Linked DNA regions of Drosophila melanogaster. The gene in region 1 interacts genetically with each later gene. Each region holds a gene or a part of one and is shown in the gene's direction. Other genes may lie near its edges.

Region 1 (7,904 bases):
ACGCGCGCTTTTCCGAGCAGCGTTTAGCATTCGATTTCATTTGTCTAAACTAAATAACAATGCAGTCTGCGCTGCCACATTGGCGTTGCATGTTGCAGCTGCCAAAATTGAGTTTTGATGCGCTGCATACCCCATACCCCATACCCCATTTCCCATTTCCCGGCCTGCACTCCTACGGTCCACCAGTCCGGTCCTGTTATTGTTTGAAACGTCGCGTTAAATTTACATAAATTGATTTGATTGAATTTTTATGAGTCGGCGGCGCAGCAGTCCAGTGGCAGCCACCCAGGCATCCACTTGCACCAACCCATCTGGCATTCTGGATGCCCCCGTCGACTGGCCGGCGGGCATCAACTGCTGATGACTTTTCGACCCGCCCTCCGACGACTCACTGGCGATGGGAGGGGGCACGTGGGTATTGGGGATCGGAGGCGACCGTCTAATTAAAGTCATTTCCAGCAGCTGCATAACCCCTACACCCACAACGCCCACTCTCTGGGCCGTGGTCAAGTCGAGGTCACAGTTGGCGCTACATGGCGCAGGGCTTAATGCGAGCCATTTGGCCCGGTTGTCCGGCGATGGGCAACGGACAGGGGCAACGGACAAGGGACGACAACGGACACGGACGAGGGCAATCAGCGAAAAGAGAGGCGGCCAAAGGCAGAACCAGACACGGCACACATTGTGTGTACAACTTCTGCGGCGGGCAAAGAATGATGCACTGTGAAAAATAAAATGTGAAAGTACTTAAAGTTTCTACTGAAACTTTGAAGAGATTCGCTGACAGGCAGATTATTTTAAATTCCAAATAAGCTTCTTACTTTGTGCCAAGGACATTTAGGAACACAATTATCTCTTGTTTTTATATATAAATATTAAATATTATTTGTTGTTTCTTGAAAAAAAAAATGATGCAATGATTCCCCGCATTGTTCAGTGTAGTGAGTGCATTGCGGCATCGCTGGCATTGCATATTTTTAGGGTTTCCTCGCTGCTTGCTGAAATTTGCACATTGCAACAAACTATTTAGCGTTGGCAAGGGATGGGGGGCGCCAATTTGTCATAAATCTCGTTATTTTAAATCGCCGCTTGGCATTCCACGAAATTGTGTATGGGTAAATGGGCCTTTTGTTTGTATTGATTTGTTGTTGTTGGCTGCTCGCTTTGCTGGTTTCTGTTAACGTCAACGTTATCGGGCGACAACAGTTGAGGATAATACATACATACTATGTTGGGGGCTACGAGCACTATTTGAAGAGAGTCCAAAAATATGGGATATTATCGTAATTGGCCAAAAAAAAAAATTCCAAGTTCCTTAACATCGCTGGTTGAGTTTCTTAGCAAGGTGCTGAACGAAAGGAGAAAGTACGAAAAACGATCGCTAACTTTTTATTGGGTGATTAGCAGCGGGTCATTCAACGAGGCTCGTTGGTCTAGAGGTATGATTCTCGCTTCGGGTGCGAGAGGTCCCGGGTTCAATTCCCGGACGAGCCCAAGTGAAGAAGTAGTTTTTTTTTATTCAGCTGAAAATATGTCATGAAAATATGAATATTACACCATTTCATTGTGGAAATTGCATTTTCAAAGGGGTATTAATATTTTGCATAGTTTGCGAATTGTGTGCGAATCCAATGTGCACTTTAGTGGTCAGCCCAAAAGTATGCTGCATAATAGTGATCTTTTGTACACTGACGCCATCGCAGAGGCGCGCATTTCACAACACTGTGCCACAGCTGATAATTGCCGTTACATTTTGCCAGTGGCCGACACTTGAAGAAATTTACAATAAGGAAAATGCTATAAAAAATTTATTTGATATAACAAAAATACAATTACCAAACTATTTTTATGAGTCCAATGCATTGATTAGTGCATCTTATTTACAAAAGAGCTATTTTCTTTTGAGAACTTAGTAGCATACGATAGTTTACACGCCATAAAATGTTATTTTGTTTGTGTATTGCCAACACTGCCAACACTGCTAGAAGAAGACTCAGTAGCTTTCTGATCTTTCGCGGGTCATTTTTGTAAGAAAACTGTTGAAATCGAAGGAAACAGGAAAACATCGAAATGGAGTACCTCTACAACGCTAGTATGCATTGCGAAGATGAAGAACGCGTCAATTTCTACAACATGGACAAGTTCTTCGTGCCCCACGTGCAGTCGATTGAGCTGGAGCAGCAGGCGATCCTGCGGCAATACGTGCCCCAGTACGCTTATCAGTGGCCCTGGGGATTTGCCCCTTCCGCTTACAGTTATTACCAGGGATTCGGTAGCCTTAATGTACACACACACACAAAACTCCGGCGATGGAACCTTGAGTAATAACTATATCTTCTCCTGTCCCCTTGCAGATGATGACTATGGACATTACCAAAACCGAACCCGGTCTCGTCGGGCTTTCCTCCAACCAACAGCAGCAGCAGCAGCAGCAGTCGCAGCAAAGCAACGCCGGCATGAACAGCGGTGGCCAGAACAACGGGCCCAATCCCAATGGCAATGGGAACGTGGTCAATGTGGTCAACTCCGGCGGTGCCGGTGGCGGCAACAATGGCAACGGGAATGTCCAGAGCATCGCCGCCGCTGCCAACAATAATAACAATAACAACAACAACGGCAGCCAATTGTGCGCCGGCTGCGGCAAGCACATCCAGGACCGCTATCTCCTCCGCGCCCTGGACATGCTGTGGCACGAGGACTGCCTCAAGTGCGGCTGCTGCGACTGCCGCCTGGGCGAGGTGGGCTCCACGCTCTACACCAAGGGCAACCTGATGCTCTGCAAGCGGGACTACTTGAGGTTAGCTGCGATTTAAGAAATACTAAAACCATTTGATAGTGTAATATACCTAGAAGTATAATAGACGATGGTATTCATTAGTCATGTTAGAAGTTAAAAATGATACCAATTCTTGAGAACTCAGGTCTATAATGCTTATAGATAAAGTATTCATTATATTCTGTGACTTATTTTTAGTTTTATAAGACTTTAAGAAGCTTTCTTGCTAAGAGTAATTTATATTTAAACAGTACCTATTCTACCTAAAGCTTTTTTTTACGCATATTCAATTTAATAGCAAAGAGTAAAGATGTTTACTTAAAGAAGTCAGAACCATGTAAACCATATAAACTTCAAACTTTTTACTAATCTGTTCATAACTTTTCCCCGCAGATTGTTTGGCAACACGGGCTACTGCGCCGCCTGCAGCAAGGTGATCCCAGCCTTCGAGATGGTGATGCGTGCAAGGACCAATGTCTATCACTTGGAGTGCTTCGCTTGTCAGCAGTGTAACCACAGGTGAGCATCGAAAGGAATTTGGCCAAACTGGCCCATTGCCCCATTGTGGGGCAGACCATACATCATCCATTGTGTGGGAGAAGCGACTAAACGATTTCGCATGCATTTTTATGGGCAATTTGCACAGAGATTCGCATTGAAGGTGGCCACATGAATCCCTTTTTAATCTTTGGCCCATCGGAGCGGGCCCAAAGTGGCACTTGAAGTTTTATTAACGTGCCGCCAGACAGCAAATTGCCATCGTTTACAAGCTAACGGCTAAACAAACGGGGTGGGAAGAATGGCCCTTTAGTGTCATACGTTTTCTATGAAAACCGCATAAATTTCGCATTGAACAGAACGAACCGAACGAACCGAACCCTTTTGGGTGCCATCAAGTCAACGCCCAGCATTCCAAGGCCTCAAATATTTTATTGGACTTGGCCAATTCGTGAAATGTCACTCTGGAGAGCTTTAAACTGCAGCCCGATTGCCCGGTGGATGGGGTCGCGTCTCATTCTTCCATTTTGGCCGGTTCGTTTCGTTTGGTTTGGTTTGGTTTCGTTTTCGTTTCGGGTTTCTGCATTAATAATGAGGGCGCACATATGCCTTCGTGGCTCCCGGTCCACCAGAAACCTCCGGCATAGTCGTCGATTGTGCAACGCAACAAGGGAGCGAACATTAAATATTAAAAGCGCCGCCACACGGTGCTGGCTGGTAAAAAATATTGAAATAAATGTTATAACATATTGGCATATTGTGAGAATCGTCTCCACCCGTTTGGCCACCGCTCCTTATCCGGGAATCTCCCCGCTTTTTGCGCTCCTGCTGGCCCTTTGTTTTTGCATTGCCGAGAATTGGCTTTAAAAATGCAACAGGAGCAACGAACTTGGAGAAGTTCACCCTTGCGGAGATGCCATTATGGTTAACTTTTGACTTTTCTATAATCCTGTTTACGCTAGAATAATATAATATAGAACTAATGCAAATTTAGCTTAGACTAATATCAAAAGATTGAGAGTATGATGGGTCATGGTTATCCCATATTTCACCACGTTATCCATAAAAATGACCAGTGGAGATGCATCCCCTCCTGTTGCTAATCAATTTTTCACGTAAATTAATTCAATTGCCGAAAAAATCCATTGAGGCGTGGCCACATGGCCAGCGGCTGCTTCGCTCCGCCTTGTTGGTTGGTCGGATGGTTCGAATGGCCACATTTAAAATGCGGGCTTTCATTTGGCAAACAAAAAGACTTTTCCTGTTGAGTCCTACCGCTGAGTCCTGGGTCCTGTTGCTGTTTGGGAAATGCTGCAAAATGCATTGCAGTCGTCGGTGAGGTTTGCATAATTTCCTGTCGTCAGCACTGGACGACGACATCCTTGCTCTCCTGCGATTGGAGTCGCATCCAAGTCAAATCTTTCGTCCACGCGAATTTTTCACAATTTTTTTTCCCCCCCATTTTATTTTGGTATGTGTGCTTCCTGTTGACAATTTGCTGTTGGTTTCTTGTGAACGACGGGGAATGGAGCCGGAGAGGAGGCGAACGAAATGCCCGGATGTGCGAGTCCCGCACAGAGGCACTCACTTATCAACATGTCCGTGTCCATTTCCATAGCCATCACCATTGCCATCGCCAATGCCAATGCCATCGCCATCGCCATCGCCATGTCACAGGTGCGCTCAATGCCAGGCCAGCGGCAAAAGAAGCAAAAGTTTCGACTTTGTTGACTCGTTTTCATGGACTTTTGTTGCCCTGTTTTGGTAGATAAACAAAGCGCTTTTTTGCCCGCTCCGGCCGGCCAGATTTCTGTGCACTGCTCCCTGCCACGCCCACATGGGCCGTCAATCGATTTGGCCACGCAACCGAAAGCAGCGGGCCAACAAAATGTTGACGTAAATCAAAAGCCAAATTTCATATCCGCTGTAAGTCTGCTGTAAGCTGATTTACTCAGACTCCTTACCAAAACGGATGCAGTGTGTTCCCGTGCCCCGTCCTCCTCGGGGAATCAAACTTTAAACGTTTCTTTTTTGCATACGCCGGCGGAGGAGGAGGGCGTAGAGTATTGCATCAGGATAGCAGAATATGTGATGGAAAGGATGGATAAAGTTCGAGGCAACTTGCAAGTTGTAGCGGATAAGAAAGTAGTAGTAGTAGTATCTCTAAACGTTTACCCCTTGTCTTTTTTATTCTAAGGAATAAGCACAATCATCGTTGGTCTTTCTCACTTTTCAATACCAGATCTAGCTGGTTTCAAAGGACATCAACTCGTCTGCTCAACGCGACTCCATCTCATCCCCAAGTGAATCGTATTCTTTTTTCGGCTTTTTTCGTTTGTAATGCGAGCTCCCTTTCGGTTTGCATCGAGTGTATCTGTTTGCTGTTGGCCGGAGTGGGCGTGGCATCCGCCTCCGCCATCCGTACAGGTGCTAACATAAATATTTTGACAAAGGGCTCCATGCCGGGAGCCAACTTTATTTGCAGTTGGCTGAATGTACACTCTCGACTCCGTACTCCAACCGAAGTGGAGCCAGCACTCCAGGCTCCTCTGCTCCAGACCCATGCTCCTGCCACACCAACTGTTGCTGACAGCGGAGCGACATTGCCTAGCGCTTATCTGACTTCCTTGTCCTTGTGCTGGTCCTGTTTCGGTCCCGCCCCGTCTGCCATTCCCTGAGTAGCTGTCCTTGTTCTTTGGAACCGTTTTGCTTTTGTTTTTAGACGACAGTTCCTGAGTTGCCGGGCTGGCTGGCAGCTACAGTCGCCATAACCGCTGTCAATTGTCATCGCTCATCGTTGCTGTCGTTGTCTTTGTCGTTGTGTTTATGCCTTTGATTCCCCCCCACCGATTTCTGGGTCTGCCTAAGCGTGTGGAAAAATCGTTTCCACTTCCTTTGCGACTTGTTGTGCCGTAGTACTAACCACTGCCGTTTTCCGGTTATTTCAGATTCTGTGTGGGCGACCGTTTCTACCTGTGCGAGAACAAGATACTCTGCGAGTACGACTATGAGGAGCGCCTGGTCTTCGCATCGATGGCCAATCATCCGATGCTCAAGCGACACGTCTCCTCCTTGGGCCAGGGCTCACCGACGGGAGCGGCTGGGGCGCAGAATACCGCTGGTGGATTGCTGGGCGGCGGACCCGGTGGCGGCAATGTGAATGGCGTGGGCATGGTCAACGGACCGCGCACCCCTGGCGATCACAATAACAACAACAATGGCCCACAGACACCGACCGGCGGTGGCTCACCGTTTGCCGCTGCTGCTGCTGCCGCCGCCGCCGCTGCCCATATGAAGAATCAACTGGGCGCGTCCAGCTAAAATAAAGCCCTGGGCATGGGTGCCGCTGGGGCTGTTGTGCCGGGATCTGGAGTCGGCGCTGGAGTTGGAGTTGGAGTTGGAGCGGCGAGTCAGCAATTCTACTCGGGCTTCGGGCTGCAGCATCAGCACCAGCATCAGCAGCATCACCAACAGCAGCAGCAACAGCAACAGCTCATGGGATTGGGCCTAGGAATGGGCGGCGGTGGAGGAGTAGGAGGAGGAGGAGCAGGATCCGCCGGTGGACCAGGCGGAGGGGCAGGAGGAGGAGGAGGCGTTGGCAGCATCGGAAGCGGCTGCAAGCGCTACCAAAGAAAGTTTTACAACCGCAACTGAGGAAATCGACGGGCGAGAAAACGCTAGCGGAAAGGATGCAGAAATCCAGAATCGATATTCAAATCTTCGTTTGCTTTGACTGAGTTCAAGTTTTATAGTTTTAAAGGCCTAGTTTAGTTAGCCTACAGAAAAGTACTTGCTGAATTTGCAGACATTTTTAGATCCTAACATTTAAGAGACAATATGTTTACTTAGTTCTATTCGAGAATAACCGCCCCATTTGTTTTTAAACTAGTTTTATTTTCGTTTCCACTACATACTGTACATATTTTCCTTGTAAACTGTTGACGTATTAGCGGGATCCTTTTTTTTTTTTTACATACTCCATATAGATATATTCGTATTTATCTATGTATATGCATAAATAATTTTATTTTCACGCTCGAAGCGTGCGGTGCCAAAAGAAATTCAAAGCAGTGCCAAAAAGTTAAAAAAAAAAAAAAATAAACGAAGGACTAAACTGATGAATGTGGAATGAATGACAAGGGCGGCCTGGTGGAGAGAATCGGATTTGTGGACCTGCGAAATCGAGAGAGCTAAACATCCCCACCGATCACTGTTCGATTTTCCATGTGTCCTTCGAATCCGAAGGAGCCGCAGGATCGTAGAGTAGAGTCAGATGAAGAGAGATAGATGATGAGGAGCTAGAGGAGCTAGAGGGCAATTGGCAAAAGTGAACTTTGATGTGTAAATATTGAGACATTCTGCACACGACTTAAGCACACATGATTTTTGTTCTAATTCCATTTTAAGTCTGTTGGAGCAACGTTGTTGATTATTATTTAAGTTTAGTTTAGTGCGAGGCTAAAGAATGTTCTTTCCACGGCGAACGTTGTATAGAAGTAGCTGGAGCTGGATGATTTCTAGATGGATTGTAGATGAGGTATGATGGCCAGATCCACGATGATCCAGCGCGTTAGATGTAAAGCGCCTAAGATAGGTCGATGTAAAGTTAAGGATTTGTGTGCGTGCGTGT
Region 2 (3,635 bases), on another chromosome or scaffold:
AAACAAATGGCTGGCAATTAGAGTGGGAAATGCATCAGTAGCCGTTGGATTGGAGGGAGGGGCTAAGCCGCCGAGGACAAGTAAGCCGAGATTCAACTTTCGCCTGGCGATACTAGTTCTCCTTGCAGTCTTGATGCGTTTTCTGCGGCAGATGCGTTTGTTGCGTGCAGAAAGCAAAGAAGAAATGGGGAAGAAAAACTAGAAACCAAGATTAAATGTCTGCAGCTGAGGAACCGTTATTCCCGCTGCGAGAGTGTGAGTGAGCTCGAATTACCAGGGGTGGGGGGTGTTCGTAATGGTAGAAGAAAAATCGCCCACCTTATAAGGCGAGGTGTTATTTTCTTCCACCGAAATCGAGTGAGTGGTAATATCTGCCGATTTTCAATCGCGATTCGCTGATAAAAGCGTTTTGGCCAACTTTTTGACTCATTCGCGCACGAATACAAGCAAACGTGTTTGCTCTTGCGTAAACTACATACATGCATACATACATATGCATATCAACTATGTGTCTGTGAGTCAGCGAAACAAAAACAAAAAATGGCCACAACAGCTGAGTAGTTACTTTTTTTTATCGGGGGTTAACAATCGCAATGGGAGCTGCTAAGGGTTAATTTGCATACACTTGCTGGCAATGAATTAGTTGTGTCTTTATGCCATGGAATCGGATATGAAATCATCGTTAAAAATACACCATGTAGATTTAATTTTACAAGCAACATGAATCACACAAAAATAGCCATCACACAGCTGTCTCTTGTCTTTTTGGCTCTCTTCGCTGTTGTTGTTGTTGTGTGTGTACAAACACCCACAGCCTGCATCACACACACACGCTCAAATTCGTGACAGCACCACCCACCCCTCACCAATAACCGTTAATTCCGCAGACACTTTCAGCCGGCGAACGGGAGAAGAGAATTTGCGAATAATAGCAAAGCCCCGTTTAAATGAACGTTTTTAGCAACAATCAGGCGTTACTCACCTTCTTTTGCTGCTGATGAATTTGCAAGGATCTGCAGTTGTATTCCAATTAGAACTGACGAGAAGCTGCGTAGCGAACACCGGCGAAATGGCGAAAATAATAACTTGGCGTGGCCTTTGGTGGGACCAGGCGTACATTCGTGGAAATAGTCAAGCGAGTTAACCCTTATGTGGGTGGCAGAATACTAAAAATATATGATACAACAAATTTTAGACTTAAGAAAACGGATGTTTAAATGTATAAAATATGATGGAAGTGCAATAGCCAAGCTTATAAACTAATTCTTAAATTATTTGCAATGCATTTAGGACTTTTCGATATACACGTAAATAAACTATATTTTGATTGAACACGGTACATTTCTACTAGAGTTCACCTTCAGATATTGACGCTATTTCTTGTCCTGTAAATTATTTTGTTAAATCGTTCACATTGTATGTCTAATAAAGATGTTTTCCAATAAAATGTTATTCCCTTTTCACTTAGTCTAACATATTCATTAAATAATCAATGTTTTATTTTTTATTTAGTTATTTTAATTAGTTCTTAATTATAAAACTGCTCTAGATTCTCGATATTTTGCGGAATCCGGCGCATGGTCACACTGACGAACACGTATTTTCATTATTCTTGCGAAGCGCATCGCTTAAAACTTGATTACGCTCGGATAACAAGATGCACCCGCGTCTCAAGTGACTGAACAGGTAGCGAAGTGACCCTGGATGAGCGTGGGTAGGCAGCCGGCACCTCTGGAAAGCCCTAATCCCAGGTCCGCCAGCCGTTTGCAGGTTATGTCCGCTTGTGTACACTGTGACGGGGAACCGAAGAAGCAACAGGAGCGGATTCCTGGCAGAAGAGACAACCGCTGTACGAGATACCGCCCCTGACCTGCGCAACATGATCGAGGTGCTGTGCCTGCTGCTGGGCAGGATCCTGCTGCTCCTGGTCGGCGGCTACGAACTGATGTGGCGGCTCCGAGAGCGACTGAATGCACTGGCCGTCCGGTCATATGACCTTTGGCGCAGCAAAGCGGCACGTGAGGCGCACGAGCGGCGCGTGCTCGCTGACTGCCGCTCCCAGTTGACGAAGACGCCGCAGCATCTGGTCCTGGTTATCTCCCCCGTAGATGCCGGCGTGGATGCGGTGCTCCTCAGCAGGATCTTCGACTTTGCCCTGGACGTGGGCATCAAACACGTCAGCCTGTACGACAGGCGGACGAAAGGCAGGGGATACGTGGACATGGCCGATCTCTGTCGATCCACCAACGCGGACACGGGCAGCTGCTTAAAGTGGCCACCCGTAGCCAGTCCCAGCAAACTGGAGAACCAGCCCAAAAACGGACAAAAGACAAATGGTTATGTGAACGGTTCACATTCCCCTCAACTGCAGGTGAGTGGCGGCGTCTGATAAGCCGTGATTAGTAATGGACTTTAGAACGATGTCGGAAAATGTCTTACAAGTATTACACTTTTTGTTTCAATTGTTAAATAAAAGAAGTAATGAGCTGGAGATTTAATTTAGTTCATCATTCACATGAGATACAAAAAATTCTTCGTGCTGAGAACCAGTTTTACCTTTGTATCCATTAAAACCTATGTATAGCAACGTAATCGATTCCCGGAACTAGTCGTTGCCTTATCAGTTTCTAATTGACTTTTCGGCTTCGGCGTCTTTCAGCTCCATCAAATCAGCGCCTCCGACGGCCATGCCCTGATCGCCGACGTCTGCCGCGAGTTGTACGAAGACAGTAAGACGGAGTTGGTGCAGAGCCTACTTAAGCAGAAGCGCGAAGCGCTGACGGAGCAGATCAGCGACATGCTGAGCAAGCGACTCGGGTTCGAGGCCCCGGAGCCGGAGCTGGGCATCGTGTTCGCCCGGCAGACGTGCACCTACGGCCTGCTTCCCTGGCACGCGCGCTTCACCGAGTTCCACACGCATCCCAGCGGACGCCACTTCGACGTGGAGACGTTCGCCAGCATCCTGTGCAAGTACTCGCGGTGCGAGCAGCGGTGGGGCACGTAGGCACATCGTTCGCGTGGGTAGCGACACCCTTATATTAACTAGTTACCTTAACATTATGTAAATTATCGCCAGGAATTCCTTTTAGTTCGTAAGAGTAAACTGCAAAAGTGTATTGTTCACATGAAAGTGTCTTTTGCTGGAGAGGATCGCGCGTTTCTAATGGCGGTGCAACGCAGCAGCTCGTATCTTGTACATAATATTCGATCTTTATTGAGTGACGTTTTGCTGTGCTTAAGCTTAAGGCGCAACTAGATGAGTATATGTAAGTGGGCAGACTTAAGCGCTATGGTTAAAAGTATTGTATTGCTTTTCGTTCAAGTGTCATCTCCGGCGCTCAGCCGCTCTACTCCCGACCGGGCTCAGCGTGGCGCTTGGACAGGAGATTGACGTCGGTCAGATACGTGTTCTTGTCGATGTTGTGCGGACCGGGACCCGTGGGCATCCGCTCGTGGAGGCCGTGGAAGGAGTTGCGCAGATCCTCGAGGGAGTCGGCCAGGCCCTTCTTGATGCTGGCGAACTCGGTGGACATGAGCGACAGCTTGCCCAGCAGATAGTTGAGGTTCTCGTCCATGTCGATCATGTGTTTCTTGGTCTCCTCCACGCGGCTGCCGAGACCCATCATGGTGATGAG
Region 3 (4,926 bases), on another chromosome or scaffold:
AATCAGCGTGGGTGAGCTGCAGAATTTTTCGCATATCATTCAGCTGAGGGTAAAGTCCCTGCGCGATACCGACGATCTACTGGAGCACGTGGGACTGGAGGATGCCAAGCAGTTCATTGAGGACAACCCGCATCCGAGGCTCTGGCGACTGCTGGCGGAGTCTGCGTTGAAGAAACTGGAACTGGAGACGGCGGAGAACGCCTTTGTCCGTTGTGCCCACTACCCGGGCATTAAGTTGGTCAAGAGACTGCGCACCATACACTCCAAGGAGCTGCAGAGGGCGGAGATATCAGCCTTCTACGGAGAGTTCGAGGAGGCGGAGAAGCTCTACCTGGACGCGGATCGTCGCGATCTGGCCATAGAGCTGCGCATGACCCTTTGCGATTGGTTTCGCGTGGTGCAGCTGTACAGAATGGGAGGATCGGGAGTGTCGGACCAGCAGATGGAGATCGCTTGGCGGGAGATTGGCCACCACTTCGCCAACCTGCGCTCCTGGGAGAGTGCCAGGGAATACTACGAGAAGTCCCACTACCTGGAGGGTTACATGGAGGCTCTGTACCACTTGGAGCAGTTCGACGACTTGGAAAAGTGCGTGGAACGGCTACCGGAGAAGAGCCCGCTGCTTCCGAAGCTGGCCGAGATGCTGGCCTCCGTGGGCATGTGCTCCGAGGCTGTTCAAGCCCATCTTCGATTCGGCGACCAGAAGGCCGCCGTCGCCACCTGCGTTAATCTCCGGCAGTGGGGCGAGGCTGTTGAGCTGGCCCAGAGGTTCCAGCTGCCCCAGGTGCAAACGCTCATAGCCAAGCACGCGGCACAGTTGCTCCAGGAGGGACGCCTCAAGGAAGCCATCGAGATGCAGCGGAATGCTGGGCGTCATCTAGATGCAGCTCGCCTGCTTTCTCAAATGGCGGAACGGGAGCAAGAGAAGCGTGCTCCGCTGCTGAGAATCAAGAAGCTGTACGTGCTGGCTGCTCTGCTGGCCGAGGAGCACCTCAAGGCTGTGGCCACGACGGAGATCGACTACGCCAGCGGCAGGAACACCCTACTGGACTCCATTGCCCTGGAGGATGCGGCCGCCATCGAGAGGCTTTGGCACTGCGCCGAGGCCTACCACTTCATGCTCCTAGCCCAGAGGCAGCTTCGCTTCGGGATCGTCCACAGTGCGGTGGTCACTGCGGTGAGGCTGCGCGACTACGAGGACGTCCTGCCTCCAGAGCACATCTACAGCCTGTTGGCACTGGCCAGCTGTGCGGATCGGGCCTTCGGAACCTGCTCCAAGGCTTTCATGAAGTTGGAGCAACAGGCTCATCTTCCCGAGGCTACCCTTCAACGGTACGAGGAGTTGGCGGCTGGGATCTTCGCCAAGTACGATCCGGAGGACACCACTGGCGATAGGGTGGATTGCTATTCCTGCGGAGTGCCCGTGCCAGATAGGTAAGTGAAGGGTCGACGTCAGAAGCTGGATTATAATGATGATACTCATGGAATGCCGATCCTTTCAGCTCCCCCTCCTGCCCCGAGTGCAATGCTCGCTTCCCGGCGTGCATCTCCTCCGGGAAACCCATCACCCAGCCGACGAACAACATATGGATCTGTACCACCTGCCACCACTGCGCAGCTCCCACCGAGATCTCCAGGCACCGAACTTGCCCACTGTGCCACAGTTTGATCGTGTCCATGACGGTGGAGATCTGAAATGAGCGGGGACTAGTGTTTTAATTACTCCAGCTGTTTTTCATTCTGCTTATCCCAGGTGGTACAGGCGTATCTACTCCGCAAATAAACAATGTAGTTTTAAGATAGAATTCAAATTTATTTTCAAGTGAAAAGTGTTATAAGTGGAAAGAGTGACTGTTCACAGTGAGTATTTCCTGGGGAGTGCGCTAGGGCCACACTACTAGCTCATCCAACACTCGCAAAGCGGTCACACTGGCGAGTGCAGCTAAGTAAGTCGGTTGTCCGTTTCTTGCTGAATTTTAAATAAGTTAAATAAATTTCTGCTTCGTGCGGTGGTGTGCGTACGCAAATATAAAATAAAGTAAATAGTAATTGCGGTGCTTGCGAAAACCAAACGAGCTCCAATTGACCGACGAAAATACTTAAGTGCATTAAAGAATTGCGTTGTTGTGCGTCGCGCCCGTTTGTCCTTATTGTTGTCGTTAGTGGAGTGCACGAAAAGTAATTGTTTTTATTTAAAGAGGTTGCATTTTAATTGCTAAATCAGCTCAGTTGCGAGTAGAGTGCCAAAATAGAGAGTAGCGACAACGAAAACAAGTTTTTGTGGATGGTGAGAAAGTAAAAACAATAGCAAATTTATATATATAGCTATATATATATGTGGTAAGGTGCTGTAAGCATTTAAAAATACAAATCCTCTCGAGGTTTTAATGGCCAAAGTTTCGTAAACGTGTAAATTGAGTGGAATTCGATTGCGAGTGCATTCTTGGTTTGTTTTGAGTGAGAACCGAAAACCAGTTTACACCGTGCTTCTTGCCAAGGTGAGTTTTAACCCCAATCGTGGCAGTTTAACGTTAATTTTAGTCATTGTTATGTTGTTAAAAATAAGTTTTCTTCTGTTAAATGTGCAATTTCGCCTGGTTAGCTTTGTCAGCTCTCTTTCCCTTCCACCTTTCTTCTTTCCCAACGAGCGGTTTGTTTATGACCGCAGTAGTGCACTTGTGTGCGTGTCAATTAGCGCTTTTATCGGGCGCACACCAAGAACAGTTAAACCTGTTCTGGTTTCTCTTTCGCACAATTTAATGGCCTTTCTTTGGCTTTAGTTTTGCGCTTTCGTCGACTTCTTCTTCTTTGTATCTCATGCATGTATCTTTATATCTGTCATTCGGGGAATTGGCAGCAAATCGGCAAACTTCTCTTTCATCGACCCCCTGCGACCAGCACCTCGCTCCCTGGAAACCCGCATCTTGTGGATTCTTTCCAGTTTCCAGATTGCTGCTGAAGCTTCCAGCTGTCACAGCCGCAACAACAACAACGCCAACGGATCAAATGAAAACCCAGCCAGCATAAACTCACACACATCGAAATTGCCTAACTAACGCACACATTAAAATACAGTCGATGCATCGTCACGAAAATAAATAACAATAATAGCCGTTTATAATTTAGATCAAGTCGCAAAAAATTTTTTTGCGTTTAATTCTTTATGAGTACTGATTAAGGTATCAGTTCAGCGATATTTCATATTACTTCTGAATATGGGGGTGCACACAAATTAAGATATATGTAGAAACCGTTCTTATTTTTTATAGAATTCATTAAATAAGTATGGAATAAACTGCGATCATATTTCCCATACAAAGCATTTTTATTTTTCACACAGTTTCCTTAACCAAGCGATTTTAAGCTTAACCTTATATTTCTGACACTGGCAATGGAACTTGATTTTTATTATCATACGTGATTTAATGAACAATGACGCCTGCTTAGGACACGAGCTTCGAAATGCAATGCACAGCGAAAAGTCCCACAAGCCATTGCAAAATTAAAAACTGAAATGGCACTCAGAGGTGCACTCTCCCCACCCTCGGTATCATATCATATCATACCATGCCGTACATGTCACAATGTCTGTTTAGGTTCCTTTATGGAGCCGGGCTTTGTCGTCGCCATGATTACTCAGCTTTATTGATAATGCTGGGTGGAGGAGTGGCAGGGAGTGGCTGGGATGAAACCTCCTGGGATTTCTTGTCCAATGTGGCGGTGGTTAGAGAGCAACCCATGAGTCGGGATGTTAGTTTTCCCCTTATGATTACGACATTCTCTGTTCTCTATCTTTTCGCTTTGGGTTTGCATTATCCAACATTTTTCTTTGCTTTCTCCGTATTGTTGCAAGTGCATTTCGCTTTTGCTGATGATTATGCTTAATTCTTGTTCGTCTGTCTGCATTGCAATGTGTGGGTGCCTTTCCACTAGAATAATATACACATGTTTTCTTGGTTTTCAGCTGAAATCGGTTCTCTTCGCTGAATCAATCGAGAAAGCTTCTAGCTCTATCCAAATTCGGGCTAGAAATCCGAGCTTCGCCCGCTAATTGGCCAATACAAACTGAGGTGTTGAGTGTTTGGCTCACTTGTGAAATGAATACGAAACAGCTGAAATCACTGTTTCTCACTGATACTTCATAATGGCAGCTAACATCCATCCCAAAATAATAACGTTTGAGAACCCTTTGCCTCTTTGCTTTAATTAAACTGTTCACTGAAAGTTTTGATTGGCCTAGCATTTACGTAGTTCACAAATGTAAGACCCTAGACCTCGTGCAAACTGATATTCTTTCAATAATTTCATTTCCTGGGCCAGAACAACTTGTTTTTATACCAAATCTATTTCTTGCCATTGAAATCGTTTATTATTCTTAATAATCGTTTTTGCCAAATGTGCTTTGTCGCCTCGCCAAGGCGTTAAATTGCCCACTGAACGCCAAACATATGCGTTGCGGTTATTGGAGATGTGTATTGTGGATTCAGTAAACTCGACTTTGATTTCGCTATCCAAAGTACAGCTCAAGTGAGGGCTCCTCCTTTGTAGAATAATTCTGTTTATATAAAGCGGGAAGCGACAATCTTTGTTTAGCCTTTATCAAGTGCGCAGTACTTGAAGTTGGGGGAATAGCTGGCTCATTTTCCCCCTATGCTTAAGATTATAGTAATCCAAGTCAAATCCAGATGTTTACATATGCACTGTGCTGAATCAATTGAAAATACATCACAAAATATATACACACAACTTGAAGAATATAAGACCTACTCTTAGCTCTGATGGAGGTTTAATTGGAACGAAAATAGGCAATGCTTATACTTTATAAAATACATATCATTCTAATTGAATGAAATAGACGAATGCCATTGAGTTTTTTTAACAACAAAGCTTTCTCCTTAGTCCGAAAGTATTTCGCAGATTTTCTTT

Evidence for each region. Genes that interact genetically often act in the same process or in processes that back each other up.
Region 2: of Bx (region 1) and Tango14, changing one enhances a phenotype caused by changing the other (phenotypic enhancement), as found in Drosophila melanogaster (one study listed by BioGRID).
Region 3: of Bx (region 1) and drpr, changing one suppresses a phenotype caused by changing the other (phenotypic suppression), as found in Drosophila melanogaster (one study listed by BioGRID).

Annotation. Positions count from the first base shown.
Region 1 is NC_004354.4:18,564,342-18,572,245, forward strand, and holds Bx (beadex), read left to right. Parts: upstream 1-1,964; 5' UTR 1,965-2,070; coding exon 2,071-2,283; intron 2,284-2,354; coding exon 2,355-2,797; intron 2,798-3,169; coding exon 3,170-3,295; intron 3,296-6,222; coding exon 6,223-6,595; coding exon of another isoform or gene 6,596-6,928; 3' UTR 6,929-7,385; downstream 7,386-7,904.
Region 2 is NT_033779.5:1,157,097-1,160,731, forward strand, and holds Tango14 (transport and golgi organization 14), read left to right. Parts: upstream 1-1,564; 5' UTR 1,565-1,879; coding exon 1,880-2,371; intron 2,372-2,659; coding exon 2,660-3,004; 3' UTR 3,005-3,124; downstream 3,125-3,635. Other genes in the region: CG5080 (uncharacterized protein), read right to left, coding at 3,348-3,635.
Region 3 is NT_037436.4:1,728,097-1,733,022, reverse strand, and holds the start of drpr (draper), read left to right. Parts: upstream 1-1,915; 5' UTR 1,916-2,498; intron 2,499-4,926. Other genes in the region: Oseg4 (outer segment 4), read left to right, coding at 1-1,434, 1,503-1,695. UniProt on the Drosophila melanogaster protein: Receptor which is involved in the phagocytosis of a variety of cells including apoptotic cells, severed and pruned axons, degenerating dendrites, salivary gland cells, germline cells and bacteria.